Linked DNA regions of Arabidopsis thaliana. The protein of the gene in region 1 interacts with the protein of each later gene in a pairwise test. Each region holds a gene or a part of one and is shown in the gene's direction. Other genes may lie near its edges.

Region 1 (6,745 bases):
ACTACATAACGCAACAAACAATTATTTTATGAAATGAGAAGTGATGAAAATTAGACCTAGAGGTTTCTTGCGCTATAAGCAAAAGTTGTTTTACCTGATGAGAAGCACCGTAGGAAACTTGGAAGGTTCTTTCATGGATGAGTAAATGTTGGGGAAAACAGAGTGACTCCCGAAACCGAACCCGTAAATTCCGATTGCGACAGGTATGTTAGTTATATCAAGAGCTTGTCCGCTTATGTGAAATCCAACCCCGTCTACTGATCCAGCCCAAAAGAGGCAAAGCGCAAGCAAGATTGAGGAGATGACACCTCCGGCTAAGGAAACAAAACATTTCTTAAATTTAATTAAAGAGTTCAAATCTCAGAGATTGTTGTGTGTGCCAATTACGAGATGAACCTGAGAGATAGGACAATAAGCTGAGGTCTTTGAGCCAGACAGTAGGAAGAACAATAAGAGTCGTGGTAATGGCGAAAACTTGAGTAGAATCTAAAGAAAATCCGTTGATGTATAAGGAGGTATTTGGGAACATTCTTGACAAATTATCACTCATCATGATTATGTATTCCACACAAGATGCCTACAGAAAAAAATTCAAAGTTAGGACCTCAATTTCTTCAATCATGATATGAAACATGAAAGAGAGTTTGGTACTTACGTATAACTCTACGTAGAGAAGTATCTGAAATGTAATTCCAAACCCAAGTTAAGTTAGGATCACAATTCACACACAAACAAAGTTAAGATTGATTATTTGAAAAATAATCTTACAGAGACGAGGATGCGTCCAGTGGTTCCGAATGCAGCTTGACCGATGTCCGGGTAAGTGTGGATTCCAGGGGAGTTCTCGAGACATCTCTTGAGGAGAATGCCGGTGTAGAAAGTGATAATGCCAAAGGAGAAGAGTATGAAAAGCCCTAACCATCCTCCTTCTTTAACTGCGTAAGGCATTGTAAGTAAAGCTACTCCACATAGAACGTTAATTCCTGCAAAAAGAGAATGTTAAGAATCTCAATCTAAATAGAAAAGATAATCGTAAACTCAGTACTCTCGCACTAATGCTATACTAAACGTAAACTCAGTTCATCAATATATATCAGATTTGGTTTCAGTTTGATTATTTGACTAATCTTGGAAAACAGAGAAAACCTAACCAAAACTCAGATTGAACATTCCTAATGCAATTATTACCGTTGAGAACGGATTGAGAGAATGTGCAACTGCGGTTTTCTTGGGGAGTTAAAAGATCCCCTGGGACTGATAGCTGGAGATGAGAAGCAAGAAATGATTTGATGGAGGACACAACAGAGCTTTGGATCTCGTCTTTGTCTATGAGAAGTTGCTGTTTGCTTGGTGAAGAAGTAAACGAACCGAAAACAGAGCTTTGTCGTCTCTGGCGAAATGAAGAGACAAAACTTGTACTAGTCGGAGGTGTAACTCCAGTCAACAAATCCATAGATTGTCTGAAAATATCCCCAAGAACACCAAAATTATTCTCTAAAGAATAATTTCTTCAGATCTCTTACAAAAACAGAGCACTTAAAAAGAAAATGATTTACCGATAACTTCGAGGCCACGGAACGGGAACGTCTTCGGATCTGTTACGAGATAAAGGAGTTGAGGGAACGGAGCTCTCTGTTTGGCTTTCTTCATCTTCCTCATCGAACGTGTGATACAAATCTTCCCTTTCTTGATCGAATGTCTCGTTTTGCTTCATCTACTTTGTTTGTATTCTTCTACTGTGCTCTGTTTCAAAAACCAACAAAAGGTCTAAAAAGAAGAAGAAGAAGATTGAGAAGAAGCAACTAGGGGACGCAACGAAACGTGTTCTGTTTTCAAGTTCTAAATTATTGTCACGTTTCTTTATATTCTTTAATTAGCAGTCTCCTTACCTATGATGATGTCTCCCTGAATTTGTTTTTCCCCATAATTTAAATGTATTAATGAACAAATTCACGATTTTCCCATTATTCCACCAATAAGATAAATTTAATAATGTCCCATTATCCTATCACTACTAAATCTAAGAAACTTCAAGAACAATTCAAAGAATCTTCTACTCTGACGCGTAAGGTTCATTTACAAAAAATTTAGTTTTTATACAATAATACTATTTGCTTGAAAAAATATAAAAACGTTTCTGGCGAGGTTATTTATAAAACACAGAAATAGACACGTAATGAAGATTAGTTGATATGCATGTGATGTAAGAAGCCAATGACAGTTGGGTCATTAATTGGCCATTAAATGTTCATCTCTAATTACTTATGCAGCAGTTAAATTTATTTTTTGTTCGTTTTATTTTGGTAGCTGAGCACCTTCGTCTATAACTGCTTAAAAACTTACAATAATACTCAGACAATTTCTTACAGAACAAGAAAGCAAAGAAACTTACACATAAAAAAGCAATTGTATATATATATATATATATATATATCCACCCATCTCCAAGCAACCATTGATCATTCCAAGCTATCTACTTTTGCAGAGGTATATTGTAGAGAAGAAGAGGAATGAGAAATGGAGCTTTTTACATATATATGAAGAAGACTTATGATTTATCAATCTGGTTAAGCTTTCCGAGTCCATTGCAGTTAGCACAAACGATCTGAGGAAGATCCTTCCGTGCGGCGTTGGCTCTCAGAGTCACTCCTCCTTTCCTCACAAATCCTGCTCCGTCACATTCCGGACACCTAAACCACACACATTTCAGAGCTTAAACTCACAATGTACAATCTCTGATTCAGTTTACTACATCGGCTAAGAGTTTATGTACGTTTTCAAAATCCATAACAGAGGATTTAGTCCGGTTAAGATAATTCGAATGTTGAACCGGACAATAAACTATGATAATCTGCAATTGATCAGTCAAAATTTGGTTTAACGAGCATTAAAACCGGTTTAAGTCACAAGGTAAAAAGATGAGAGTGGTTTACGTGTCTTTGCGTTTGAAGAGGATCGGGAATGCAGTTCCGACGAGTGCAACGGCGATGGCTCCGCCGATTAAGTAGATTGTTCCGTCAGAAGAGACATCACCGACGGCGGCGACAACTACGGAGGAAGAAGATCTCTTGTTTTTGGGAAGAATCACATTGTTCGGTGATGGTGATCCCCACGAAGAAGAATGTTTCAGGAAGTTGGTTGATGACACGAACGTCGTCTGCAATGCCGGTGCGATCGTCATAATTTAGGGTTTTAAGTGACTGATTTCGATTTGGGGGAAGTAATAAGAAGAAGTGATTTGATTTTTATGGAAAGGTTTTGAATTTGGATTTGCTTCGTGACGTGTCACTCTCTCGAAGTGGATAACGTTTTCACTTGGGATTTTTGGGGTTCTTCAGTTTTCTTTTGTGTGTGGATAAGGTAGGCCCCTTCAAGATATTTCGAGTTAACAATTGGGCCTGTTAAGCCCATTATTAAGTTAGCGTGAACATAAGGCCCAAACTATTTGTCATTGTCTCTGACTCTCTGACCTTCGCAGAGTCTTTCTCTTCTTCCGTTGCTTCAATGGCGAAAGACGGACCTAACTGGGACGGTCTGCTTAAGTGGAGTCTCTCTCACTCCGATGGTACTCGACCTACTTGCCAATTAAGGTACGAAGTTTCTTTGTAATTTCAGGTTTTGTTGGTCACTTAGTGGAGCTTATGTTGTTTGTTGGGTTGTTTTAGAAATTTGCGTGGTTCTGCGTCAGTTTCTTATGAGGAATGAATCATGTAGTGGAATTTGACTATTTGATTTGGTATTGTTTGGTAGATGGTTTTTGATGATATGAAATTGTTTGGTTAGACAGTGAGGAGGATCGAAAATGGTTTGCAGAAGCTATGCAATCACAAACGGTAGATGTAGTCAAGCGGTTGAAGGAGATTACACAGGTATTGCAGACACCTCAACAAGTTTTGGAGGCTCATGAAGTGACCCCTCAAGATATTGAAGGTTCAATATGGAGTTCACTATTGTTTTCTTAGCTATTTTCTCTCTTGTTGGTTACTAAGATTTTGAGTTATGATGATTTGGTAGGTTTGTTGGATGAGTTGCAGGAACATGTTGAATCGATTGATATGGCTAATGGTGAGTCTTTTCATACTTTGACCTTGTAACTTTGTTCTATATCTGTCTTTTGATTGCTGGGCTTAACTTGTACTTCTTTGAATGTATGGGCAGATCTTCATTCCGTTGGAGGCTTGGTACCTCTTCTTGGCTACCTCAAAAACTCCAATGCTAATATCCGGGCTAAGTCTGCAGATGTTGTAAGCACAATAGTTGAGAACAATCCTCGGAGTCAAGAATCAGTTATGGAAGCCAATGGTTTAGAGTCCTTGCTTTTAAGGTTTACTTCAGACACCGATATGCATTCTCGAACACAGGCTCTCGGTGCAATATCATGTAAGCTGCTCTGAGTTCTATCCTATATACTTAGATGGTCGAATGCCTTTTTCAAAAACAAAAATGTCTATCGTAAATCTGATGAATGTATTGTGGTAAATTTGGGGTACAGCTTTGATTCGCAATAATAAACCTGGGATCACAGGTTTCCGGATTGCAAATGGTTACTCTGGTTTAAAAGATGCTTTGGAAACTGATAGTGTGAGATTTCAAAGGTAATAATACTCTTCACTTTTCTTCATGCTTGGATTCCTCTGAACTTTGAGAGAACACAAAGTTGTAACCTTTGTTCTGCTGTTGTCTAACTTTCAAAACTTTTGTCATTACTTTCTCATTCTTCAGGAAAGCTTTAAACTTGTTGCATTATCTTCTACAAGAGAATGACTCAGACTCCGATATTGCTATAGAATTCGGGCTTCACCATTTGATGATGCACCTCGTGTCTAGCTTCGATGCTGATGTAAGAGAAGCTGCTCTTCGAGGATTGCTTGAGCTCGTGAAAGCTAGAAAAGACTGTAGTACTTGTGGTTCTAGCATAGTGAAAGGCGATGAGAGACTCAGACAGATTCTAAAAGATCGGATCAAAGCAATCAGCCGGGTCAAAGCAATGAGCTTGTTTATGTCACAAGAAGATCTATCAGCCGCTAAAGAGGAGAGGCAGCTCTTAGATTCACTATGGACCACAATCTTCAACGAACCTTCTTCTCTTTAGAGACAAAGATACAAAGAGACAAAACCGTCTGTGCTTCCTTATATCATGAGTAAGCACTAAAACCGTCTTTTATGTCTTTGGACCCACCAGCTAAAGCTTGTGTCTTTAGAACACTAGTTAAAAGGATGGTAACCACTGTATAATGACCAAATTTTGATTCTATTTTGAGTTCAAATTTTCTCAGTTTCTCATTCAATGACCTAAAAACAGACCGTACAAGTACCAAATCAAGCTACTGCATGATAAACATAACATAAAAATCAGAAGCCTCTCACTTTGGAGGACAGAAAGTGATAACATAACGAGAAGCTCTACACTTATTCAAACTACTAGAATCATCAAACGCATAACTATAAGCTTTAGGACAAATCGCTTTAAACAGATTCGCGAACAGAGTCGGCTTACACGCCTGAGGATTCGCATATTCACCGGTGCAACAATACTTAGCCGATTGCATCGCCAAGCAAGCACTTTTACAACCAACCACTTTCCCATCTCTCTTAACTTCCAAAGCTGATGGACAACAAATGTTCAAATTCACTTCACAAGCCGCAACGCCACATCCAACTCCACCGCCGATTGGTTTCATCGACACCGGAAGATTGAAACCGTCGACGAGACTTACGTCGTAGAAATGAAGCGGAGAGGAAGATGAGCCTAATGTCATTTCTACTACGGTTGCTGGTGGTACACCGCCGGTTCCTTGGCAGTTGATAGAGCCGTCGTTGCAGTCTCCGGTTTGGCATGAGCCTTTACCGTTTTGGTTAAAGGTGCAGCCTTGTCTACCCCAGATTCGACCGGACCATTTATCCGGTACGTCTATGATGGTTTCTTCGCCGCTTCCCATGTGGAATCCGCCGTTTCTTGGTGTGATTTGGCCTCCGCCGCCGAGAATTCCCGGCCAAATGCTCTCCTGGCAGTTATTCACTATTATAAGCTGAGCTCCATCTGCAAAAGAACAAAGTCACTATTATTGAGAGGAATCAAAACGAGAAACAAAACCCATTTCATAAATTATCGAGAAGGAGAAGAGATATCGTACCAGTGAAGGCTGAGATAGTGAGAAAGAGAAGGAATAGAGTTGCAGATTTCGTCATTGTTGTTGATGTTGTTGTTGTTGTGTGGGGATATATCACTTCTAAAGTTTGCTTTTGTGTGTGTTGTGGTTGTTTTCAAGAGAATATTAATAAAGAATATGTTGAGGACGTCGTGGTCGAAGGAAGAAGTGGAAACTTGGGTTGCAAGACTAATATTGGTGTGGTGAAGTGGATTGTTGTATAGGGAACTGCCAAGTGCTAACGTTTTATAAACTGAGACTTTCATGGGATTAGTGGGAAAGAGAAAGATATGGAGGCTTGATCGTGAGCCTTCTTCTATGAAGAATGGGTTAAAGTTGGATTTAAAGAAAAAGAGAAAGATTCATATGTCTCTCAAACGTTTATTATTGGATAAAGATTAACACTCATAGATTTCTTCATCATTGCATTTCTTTAAGGCAAATTTGTTTATACTTTACAATCCATAACTAATTTTCAGACCTAGCTAAAATCTCATTGTCTAACATTTTAATTATTCTTAGAAATTGATTTGATATTTTTGAATATAGTTTTATAATTTTTGTAATAATGTCGTAATGTTACCACCTGAATTCAC
Region 2 (2,559 bases), on another chromosome or scaffold:
AGGGCATTACGTGCTCTTCTGGGAGCTAAAGCCACGTCACAGCAATGACCCACCAAAGCTTGACGACAAGACAATGGAGGATTGTTGCTCTGAGGTTGAGGATTGTTTGGATTACGTCTACAGGAGATGCAGGAACAGGGACAAGTCGATTGGGCCATTGGAGATAAGAGTGGTGAGTTTGGGCACGTTTGATTCGTTAATGGATTTTTGTGTCTCACAAGGATCATCTTTGAATCAGTATAAGACTCCAAGATGTGTTAAATCTGGAGGAGCTCTTGAGATTCTTGATTCCAGAGTTATTGGGAGGTTCTTCAGTAAGAGAGTTCCTCAATGGGAACCACTTGGTTTAGATTCTTAGACTTTACTTCTTTTTCTTTAATGTATGATTAAAGTCTTGATTTTATAAGTATAAGATCTTCATTTGTTAAGTTGCTAATTGGTGTTTCTTTTTTTAATTGTTAAGCTTTTGTCTCTTTTGTAACAAACTTTCAGCAAAGTCCTCTCATTTTGTGAATGTATACTTTTGTGTCTCTTTCTTTATTATTCTTTGTCTCCCTCTCTTTTTCGAAAAGATTAAAAAAAATCGTACCAAACCCTTTACATAAAATCTAGCTCATCTCTTTTTTTCTTCATAGGAATGGTAATATATTCATATTGTATACATAAATCGAACATAACTGAAAAATAAAAACAGAGATTTTAAGACCGAAAAAATATTATAAAAGAGAAACTTTCGAAGTTCTCTTTTGCAATATATCTACGTTAGTATAAGATAAAGATGAAAATAAAATGAGGAGATTGAAATAATTGGATAGAGAGGTGAAGAGTGACGTATAGATGCACATGAAGATGGTGATGGTTTAATATGCCAGCCAACACACAGCAACATCATTGAGATCCACATTTCTTTCTTACATCATTTCTATTTTTTTTCTTGCATAAATCTCAACTCTATCTCTCGTCAACAGTTTTCACTTTTCTTTCTTTTTTCTCTTCTAAAATCCTGAAAATAATTTATATAAATGATCGTTACTTGTACTAGTTGTACATGTAATAAGTGTTGAAGTTGATTAAAACCACACAAAAAGTTTTGTTATGAATTTAATATAAGTTCACTAATATATGCAAAACCATTGTTTAATATGGAAACTATAAAGATTTTCGGAGCAAATTTCTTCCAAGTGTTGACATTTAACAAGTCTTGGATTTGTTTTCAGCTCAAAGTAGGTTTAACTCATTATTAGTAGAAAACCATGTGCCTGAATAGTATTGTAATGTAAACTGCAGAATATAAAATTTTAAGAATATTCGAACAACAATAAACGATGTGTGGTCTTATGAAATCATTATTATATAAAATAAAAACCAAAATTCTTTATATCAGCTATTCATTTTCACATCATAATCTACCTTTTCAAATTGTGGTTTTAATGACATAATTAAAATTAAATATACTAACTATATGAGTATTTGGTAGGACTACCAACGTATATCTATTACTACATTTAATGTCTGTTTGAATGTGGCTGTCGACATACATATATAGCCGTAAAATTTCAATATACAACCTATGTTAAGATATTGGATGAATATATTTTAAAACAAATCGATATATTACCATGATTTGATTTTTATAAAAACATTAAATTTGTAGAAATTTTTCTTGAAACTATCATGAACAAAAAAAACAGATGACATAGGTTTTGATCTAAATAACAATACTGTTAAATATATTTTGAACCAGATTGGCTACCGAATTCAATTTTTCTATTGGGGCTATAGGTGTTCTCCCGGGGAAAATAACCAATGGAGTTGATTACGTTGCTCCTCGCAGTTCTCCCTTTAACACCAACGGTAGATAGGAACCGAAATGTCTCACGACAATCTAAACCCAGGGCTCAGGCAAGAAAACCAGGGAAGCGTGAAAGAGCTCACTCGTCCAAAGTTAGATCTAGCGAATAGCGATAGCGTTTTTGTTTGTATAACAACTTGTAATCCACACTCATAGTTTCGGATATTCAAAAGTTTGATCGAATCAAAACGGTAATGTGGCTAATATGCCCACCCACCCCTCGTAGCTAGATTCATCGTAAGAAATGAATTGAAAGCATGGTAAAATAAAAGCAAAGCATGGTTAATGTGGAAGTAAGTAACCGACAAGAGTTGGATATGATGGATGTGTTGCTATAAAGAGTAAATGGGGTAAAAGAGACAGATCTATGACCCCAAATATTAAAGCAAAAGAAAAAAGGGAACAAACTTAACTGTTCACTTAAGAGAAAACGATGAGTTTCCTCTCAACTGTCCTGTCATGTTACTTTCCGTATCGCTCTCCAGAACAAAAACGCTGTCGTTTTCGTCTCGCTACCAACACAAAACCATTGCAACCCCATCTAATCCTGCTGTTTCAGTGTATATAAAATAAATAAATAAAACTGTTCATTGCATGTAAGTCTGGAAATATATACACGTATTGTCAACTTAATGACAGATTCGAATAATGCATTTTTCTTCGATAAGAATCTATCCACAATAGTTTTGATTAGAGAGCGAGACCCC
Region 3 (4,904 bases), on another chromosome or scaffold:
ATTGTAACAACAAAACAAGGACCTAATTAACAAAAAAAAAAAAAAAGAGGAGTCATAACGATCCAATGTTGTTTCTTCTTAGTCGTACGGAATCTGGATATAGGCAGCATCACAGACAAACGGGATGTCTGCGTACATACCCGCAAGTGCACACCGTATGCTTTCAAGGACGGTAAACAGATAAGCAAACGCAACAGCAGTCCAGAAATGCATCCCAAACTTACCCCAATAGACTCCAAGAGGCATCCACTTGCTAACGGTCCCTATAACCTGGAGTGCGATTTCAAGCAGCATACCCATCACTACATGGAACCTGAAGAAGTGAGGCCATTCTTTTCTTCGCACTATCCCTAGATAAGCTACAAAAAAGTAAGCCATGAGGAACCAGCTTGGTAATCTTCCTATGGCGCCTAGAAATGGGTAGGTTAAGAATTCAAAATCTTCTAGGAATGGGTGGAGATGGTAAGCGGTTTCTGCATACATCCAAGTTTCATGCAGTGGCATTAGGTAAGGCAGGCAAGCCAAAGTTCTCCACCACCATTGTGGCTTCTTGGTCATCGGGGGAAATCGGAAGCTAGAAGGTACATCTTTTGACGCTCGTGGAGTCAAAAGAGTTTTTCTGCGGACAGGTAACACAGGTAATGTACCAGATAGACTACCTTGTTCTCCATTCAGAAGCAGAGAAGACGAGGCTGAGAGATATGACAGAGGCACACCTAAAACAATCAAAGTATACAAGATTGAATTAGGAAACAAAAGCAGCACCTTTGAAATACCAAAGTCACTTATCCTAGTTTCAGCCCATGGACAGGTCTTTTAATATTCACATCATATAAACTCATTGGAGCAATTTACAGATATAAGCAGGGATATATGATAATAAGTGTTTGAAACCATATGAGTAGAAGAAATTCACATGCCTCTTGACACTCTCGGAAGCTCATTGAAAGGTGAAGGTGGTGATCCCCACGAGTTCTTTACGACAGGCAATGAACTTCGAGCAAGATAATGTTGAGTCTGTCCTGCTGCAGCTCTATATGATGATGACTTGAATGCCCGAGAGCTCATTAGAACATGTGCACTTGGCGTGCTGTATCCAGTTATCATCCTTACCAACTAAAATGCCTATACCAAAACAAACGAAACATGGGAAATCGAATTTGAACAGACGACTGTAGAAACAAAATCTCATCCGATAAATTTCAATTCCCATAAACATATTTCGGTACCCTAAACCAGAGATTGCTCAAGACCAGCTAGAACATTGCAAACCTACCCAAGCGCTTCGACTAATTAGAACCCATAAATCAAACAAAATCGATTCTTTTCATAAATCCATGAGATAATTTAGAGAGAAGAAGAAGTTACGAACCTTCACAAACAAGGAATGGTATAATCGAAGCTGGAGGTAAAAGAAGAAGAGTAGGGTTTATGGAGCATTCATCTGTACTTCATCATCTGAATCCTATCCTTCTTCACTCCCCCAATAAAGAAAAATGGCGATTACTCTCTCTTTCTCTCCCGTGTTTAAATTGACACTAATACCCTCAGGCCCAGATCGGCCCAAAACCTGAAAACCTCCCTATGAGTAAGAGGGTTCGCGCATTATTAAACCGTGACCAAATTTGAAACTTTTTTTTTTCTTTTTACTGTTTCCCCAAAAATTCTTTTGAAAATCGAATCGACAAATTCCTTCCGCCGTCGGAATGTCAATTCCCGATCCCAACTCCTCCGCATCTCTAACGGTGTCTCCGTCTCTATCCACCGCATCGGAAACTCCGGTAACACCAGTAAACACTGTTAGACCACCGCCGTCTCAGCCACCTCCTGCTCCGCCGCCACTACCGCCGCCGACTTACAGACCCATAGCTCCGCTTCGCCACCCTAATCCGTTCCAACAACAATCTGCTTATAGTAATAACCTCTACGCACATTCGATTCCGGTCAGACGCCAAATTCAAGATCCGTCAGCTGTTCTTTACCCGTTTGCTCTACCGGGTCGAGGGTTTTCAGCCCGACCTGTTCGAGGATTCGTCGCAGATCCTTCCGTGACGGCTGGTAATCTGAGTGGGTACCCTCCTCGCCCGAGTTTTACTTACGATCCTGGACCATATGAGCAGCGTCAAATGGAATCCTTGTTGCAGCAGTTTATAAGGGAGAGAAATCCTCAGATTCGTCCATTACCACGCCTTGGATTGGGTTCTCCTGTTGGGTTGGGTCCCATTAGAGCAAGTCCTCAATTTCTGCAACCGCGGGTGAGGTTTCTTAGATGAAGTCCTCAATTTCTGCTTGTCATGTTTCATTTGTTAATGCTTAGATTCTAGCTAAGTAGTGGAAAGATTAGTGGGGAAAATGCTCGAGATGATCCAAAGTTTCTTGATTGGAGTCTTAGTAGAACTGAATCTGACTGTACCGTGACTTAAGAATCATCTTGGTTAATATTGGATCCATTTTTGTCAGAGTGATTCTCATTCGAACTAATGCATGTAGTTCTAGAATTTTGATCGACTAGTCTAGTTATACAACAATGTGAGTTGTTGGACGTGTCTTTCATGGTTTTCTTATAAACCATGTGATAGTTAGTAATTGGATCTAGTTATCTTTCTATTTTGGTTCTTTGTCCTGCTATGTGCCTGCTTTACTCTGGTCTTGAAAATTCTCTTTTGTGGAATGAGGAAGACTTGAAAATGCTTTTATATCTTAGCAAATGTTAAGCTGTTCTTCTCTTAATAGTTGGTTTGCACCTACTTACTTTTGATTATTGCTCTTGCTCCAGTCACATTTTCTCATTTTCGTAAATTTTGGTACTTAGGTTGCCCCGCCCCCAACTTCAATTCTAGACACTAGCAGGAATAGAAAGGCCAGGTGAACATCAAATTTCTCTACTTTGATATTACCTTTCTTTTGGTTTCACTGAAAATATTATTTTAAAAAAAACTTGTTCAAGAGACTTAGTTGCCTTGCTGTTTCTTCTTCCTTGTTATTAGAAGCAAGGATGGGGCTCTTGCCGTTGTTAGAGGGAGAAAGGTAAGCCTACTATCATATGTACTGCTTGTTTGAGAATTTGGAAAAGACATCTGTTAAGTTTAGATTGTAATACTATTCAACTGTTTACAGGTCCGAATCACTGAGGGGTCTTCTTCTCTTTATTCACTTGGTCGATCGTGGTTGAAAAATGGTGCTCACGTTGGAATTCAGGTTCGCACTTTATATGCTGCTGTTAGAGTAGGATGTTAGTGTCATTGACGACTCCGCTTGATAAAAGATTCATCGGTTGTATTTTCAAGATATTGGTTTGTGGGGTTTTGATTCAGAAAACCTCTCAGAATGCCAAATTTACTCGAATTTGGAAACTAAATTACTTTTGATCACTCACCTATTTGCATCCGTGCTAGTTAGAGGATTCTTTCTTGATATAGTTATATTTTTAGAAGCCAATCTTAGTTAAATGATCTTCAATTGCATACTCAAAGCTTGTTATCTGCTTTGCAATGGAAATGTGCATCTGCAATCTCTTGAGCGTAACCATATATCTGGGACTAATCTAACTTTCAGTTTCTCTGTTGACAGCCGCAAAGGAGTGGTATAATGAAACCTTTGCCAAAACCGTTACCTGTGGATTTAACAACAGAGACAAGTGTACCAGATGATCCAGATGAAGAATCAGCGGATGAAGACAAAGAGGTTTGTGTTAAGTCTTCAAGAACCATTGATTCTATCTGAGCAGAACAGAAGACATTAGTCTGATTCTTTCCTGCTGTTGCTAATTTCAGCTCTTGAATATTTACTACATGACGTTTGATTCCACTCTTTTCTTTGATGATCTCAGGACGAGGAAGCTGTAAAGCAATTATCTGAGAAGGATCTTTTGAAAAGACACATCGAGCGAGCTAAGAAAGTCCGTGCACAGTAAGCTCCCCACTATTCTCTCTTTTTGCTCCTTAGGTCGTGTAGTATTTGAAAGATAAAGCTCCCCACAAGATTCATGGATTAGTTTTCATAATCATCAAAGCAAATCTAGCAGAATATTTTGGTAACTTGAAAAAGCGGATTTCTTTCTCTTTCAGATTACGAGAAGAACGGTCGAGGAGGATCAGGAGGTACAAAGAAAGAATAACTCTTATTCTGGCACAATCCGAAGACCGATGATGCTTGAAGAACGACTAAAAAAGGGTAAAGTTTTGTTAGGAATTAGCTTCATATGACTGTTGTTGATTTAGCATACTAGTACCACGTAACAACATACGTGTAGTAATAGTATAGGTGTGTTCTTCTTCGTCTTCTATAGATTAGTAGGACTACTCAATGAATAGTGTTTCATTCTTCCTAAAACTAAAGAGGAAGATAAAATTGTTTCCTTAAAGTCAGCTTTTACTAATTTGACAATAAAAATTTCTTCTCTTACACATGTGTCAATCAGCGAAGTGGTAATAAATAAACTTTACTGTCATTCGACTAATTGTAACTTTATAAACAAGATTTGAGAAAAATTGAGATTTTGTAGTAAATAGGTGGAAGTCTCTAATTGGATTAGAGGCTTTTCGAGAGAGAATCGCATAGGGAAGCGGACAGAGAAGATAACAAACGCTCATATTTAAACTCTCTTTCCGTTACATTTGCCACGTAATTACAACAAACACGTGTCATCGCCGCTAAGAACTAATTTTTGTCATTGCTCCACACATGCAACTACTAAACTACCGATGATCTCTCTCGCTCACGTTTAATCCGCCATTTCTGTAAAATCCTCTTCCCTTTTCTGAAGTAAACTTTTTCCCGCAATCAACTCTTGCTTTCTATTTTTCTCGATTGTTTACACTTTTCATTTTCAGCTCTCTGTTTCTTTCTTTCACACTAACCCCAATTCTAGTTTCTTACTCTCCAAGAAACAAAGAGCACCGATC

What was found. Proteins that work in one complex are often made in the same cells at the same time.
Region 2: the proteins of Fes1C (region 1) and AT1G28135 interact in a two-hybrid assay, tested with the Arabidopsis thaliana proteins (one large-scale study listed by BioGRID).
Region 3: the proteins of Fes1C (region 1) and AT1G04930 interact in a two-hybrid assay, tested with the Arabidopsis thaliana proteins (one large-scale study listed by BioGRID).

What each region holds. Positions count from the first base shown.
Region 1 is NC_003076.8:422,828-429,572, reverse strand, and holds Fes1C (Fes1C), read left to right. Parts: upstream 1-3,194; 5' UTR 3,195-3,360; intron 3,361-3,456; exon of another isoform or gene 3,457-3,478; 5' UTR 3,479-3,504; coding exon 3,505-3,590; intron 3,591-3,783; exon of another isoform or gene 3,784-3,787; coding exon 3,788-3,930; intron 3,931-4,014; coding exon 4,015-4,065; intron 4,066-4,158; coding exon 4,159-4,380; intron 4,381-4,492; coding exon 4,493-4,595; intron 4,596-4,722; coding exon 4,723-5,092; downstream 5,093-6,745. Other genes in the region: AT5G02170 (Transmembrane amino acid transporter family protein), read right to left, coding at 1-1, 95-314, 397-577, 656-679, 769-983, 1,189-1,460, 1,557-1,714; AT5G02160 (uncharacterized protein), read right to left, coding at 2,549-2,690, 2,934-3,181; AT5G02140 (Pathogenesis-related thaumatin superfamily protein), read right to left, coding at 5,136-5,292, 5,368-6,040, 6,135-6,189.
Region 2 is NC_003070.9:9,827,526-9,830,084, forward strand, and holds AT1G28135 (uncharacterized protein), read left to right. Parts: upstream 1-1,735; 5' UTR 1,736-1,806; coding exon 1,807-1,962; 3' UTR 1,963-2,059; downstream 2,060-2,559. Other genes in the region: GH3.17 (Auxin-responsive GH3 family protein), read left to right, coding at 1-358.
Region 3 is NC_003070.9:1,395,791-1,400,694, reverse strand, and holds AT1G04930 (hydroxyproline-rich glycoprotein family protein), read left to right. Parts: upstream 1-1,641; 5' UTR 1,642-1,706; coding exon 1,707-2,255; intron 2,256-2,324; coding exon 2,325-2,414; intron 2,415-2,812; coding exon 2,813-2,865; intron 2,866-2,987; coding exon 2,988-3,027; intron 3,028-3,117; coding exon 3,118-3,198; intron 3,199-3,555; coding exon of another isoform or gene 3,556-3,567; exon of another isoform or gene 3,568-3,570; coding exon 3,571-3,684; intron 3,685-3,829; coding exon 3,830-3,909; intron 3,910-4,067; coding exon 4,068-4,149; 3' UTR 4,150-4,404; downstream 4,405-4,904. Other genes in the region: Tic20-I (translocon at the inner envelope membrane of chloroplasts 20), read right to left, coding at 79-716, 921-1,107; AT1G04945 (HIT-type Zinc finger family protein), read right to left, coding at 141-716, 921-1,107.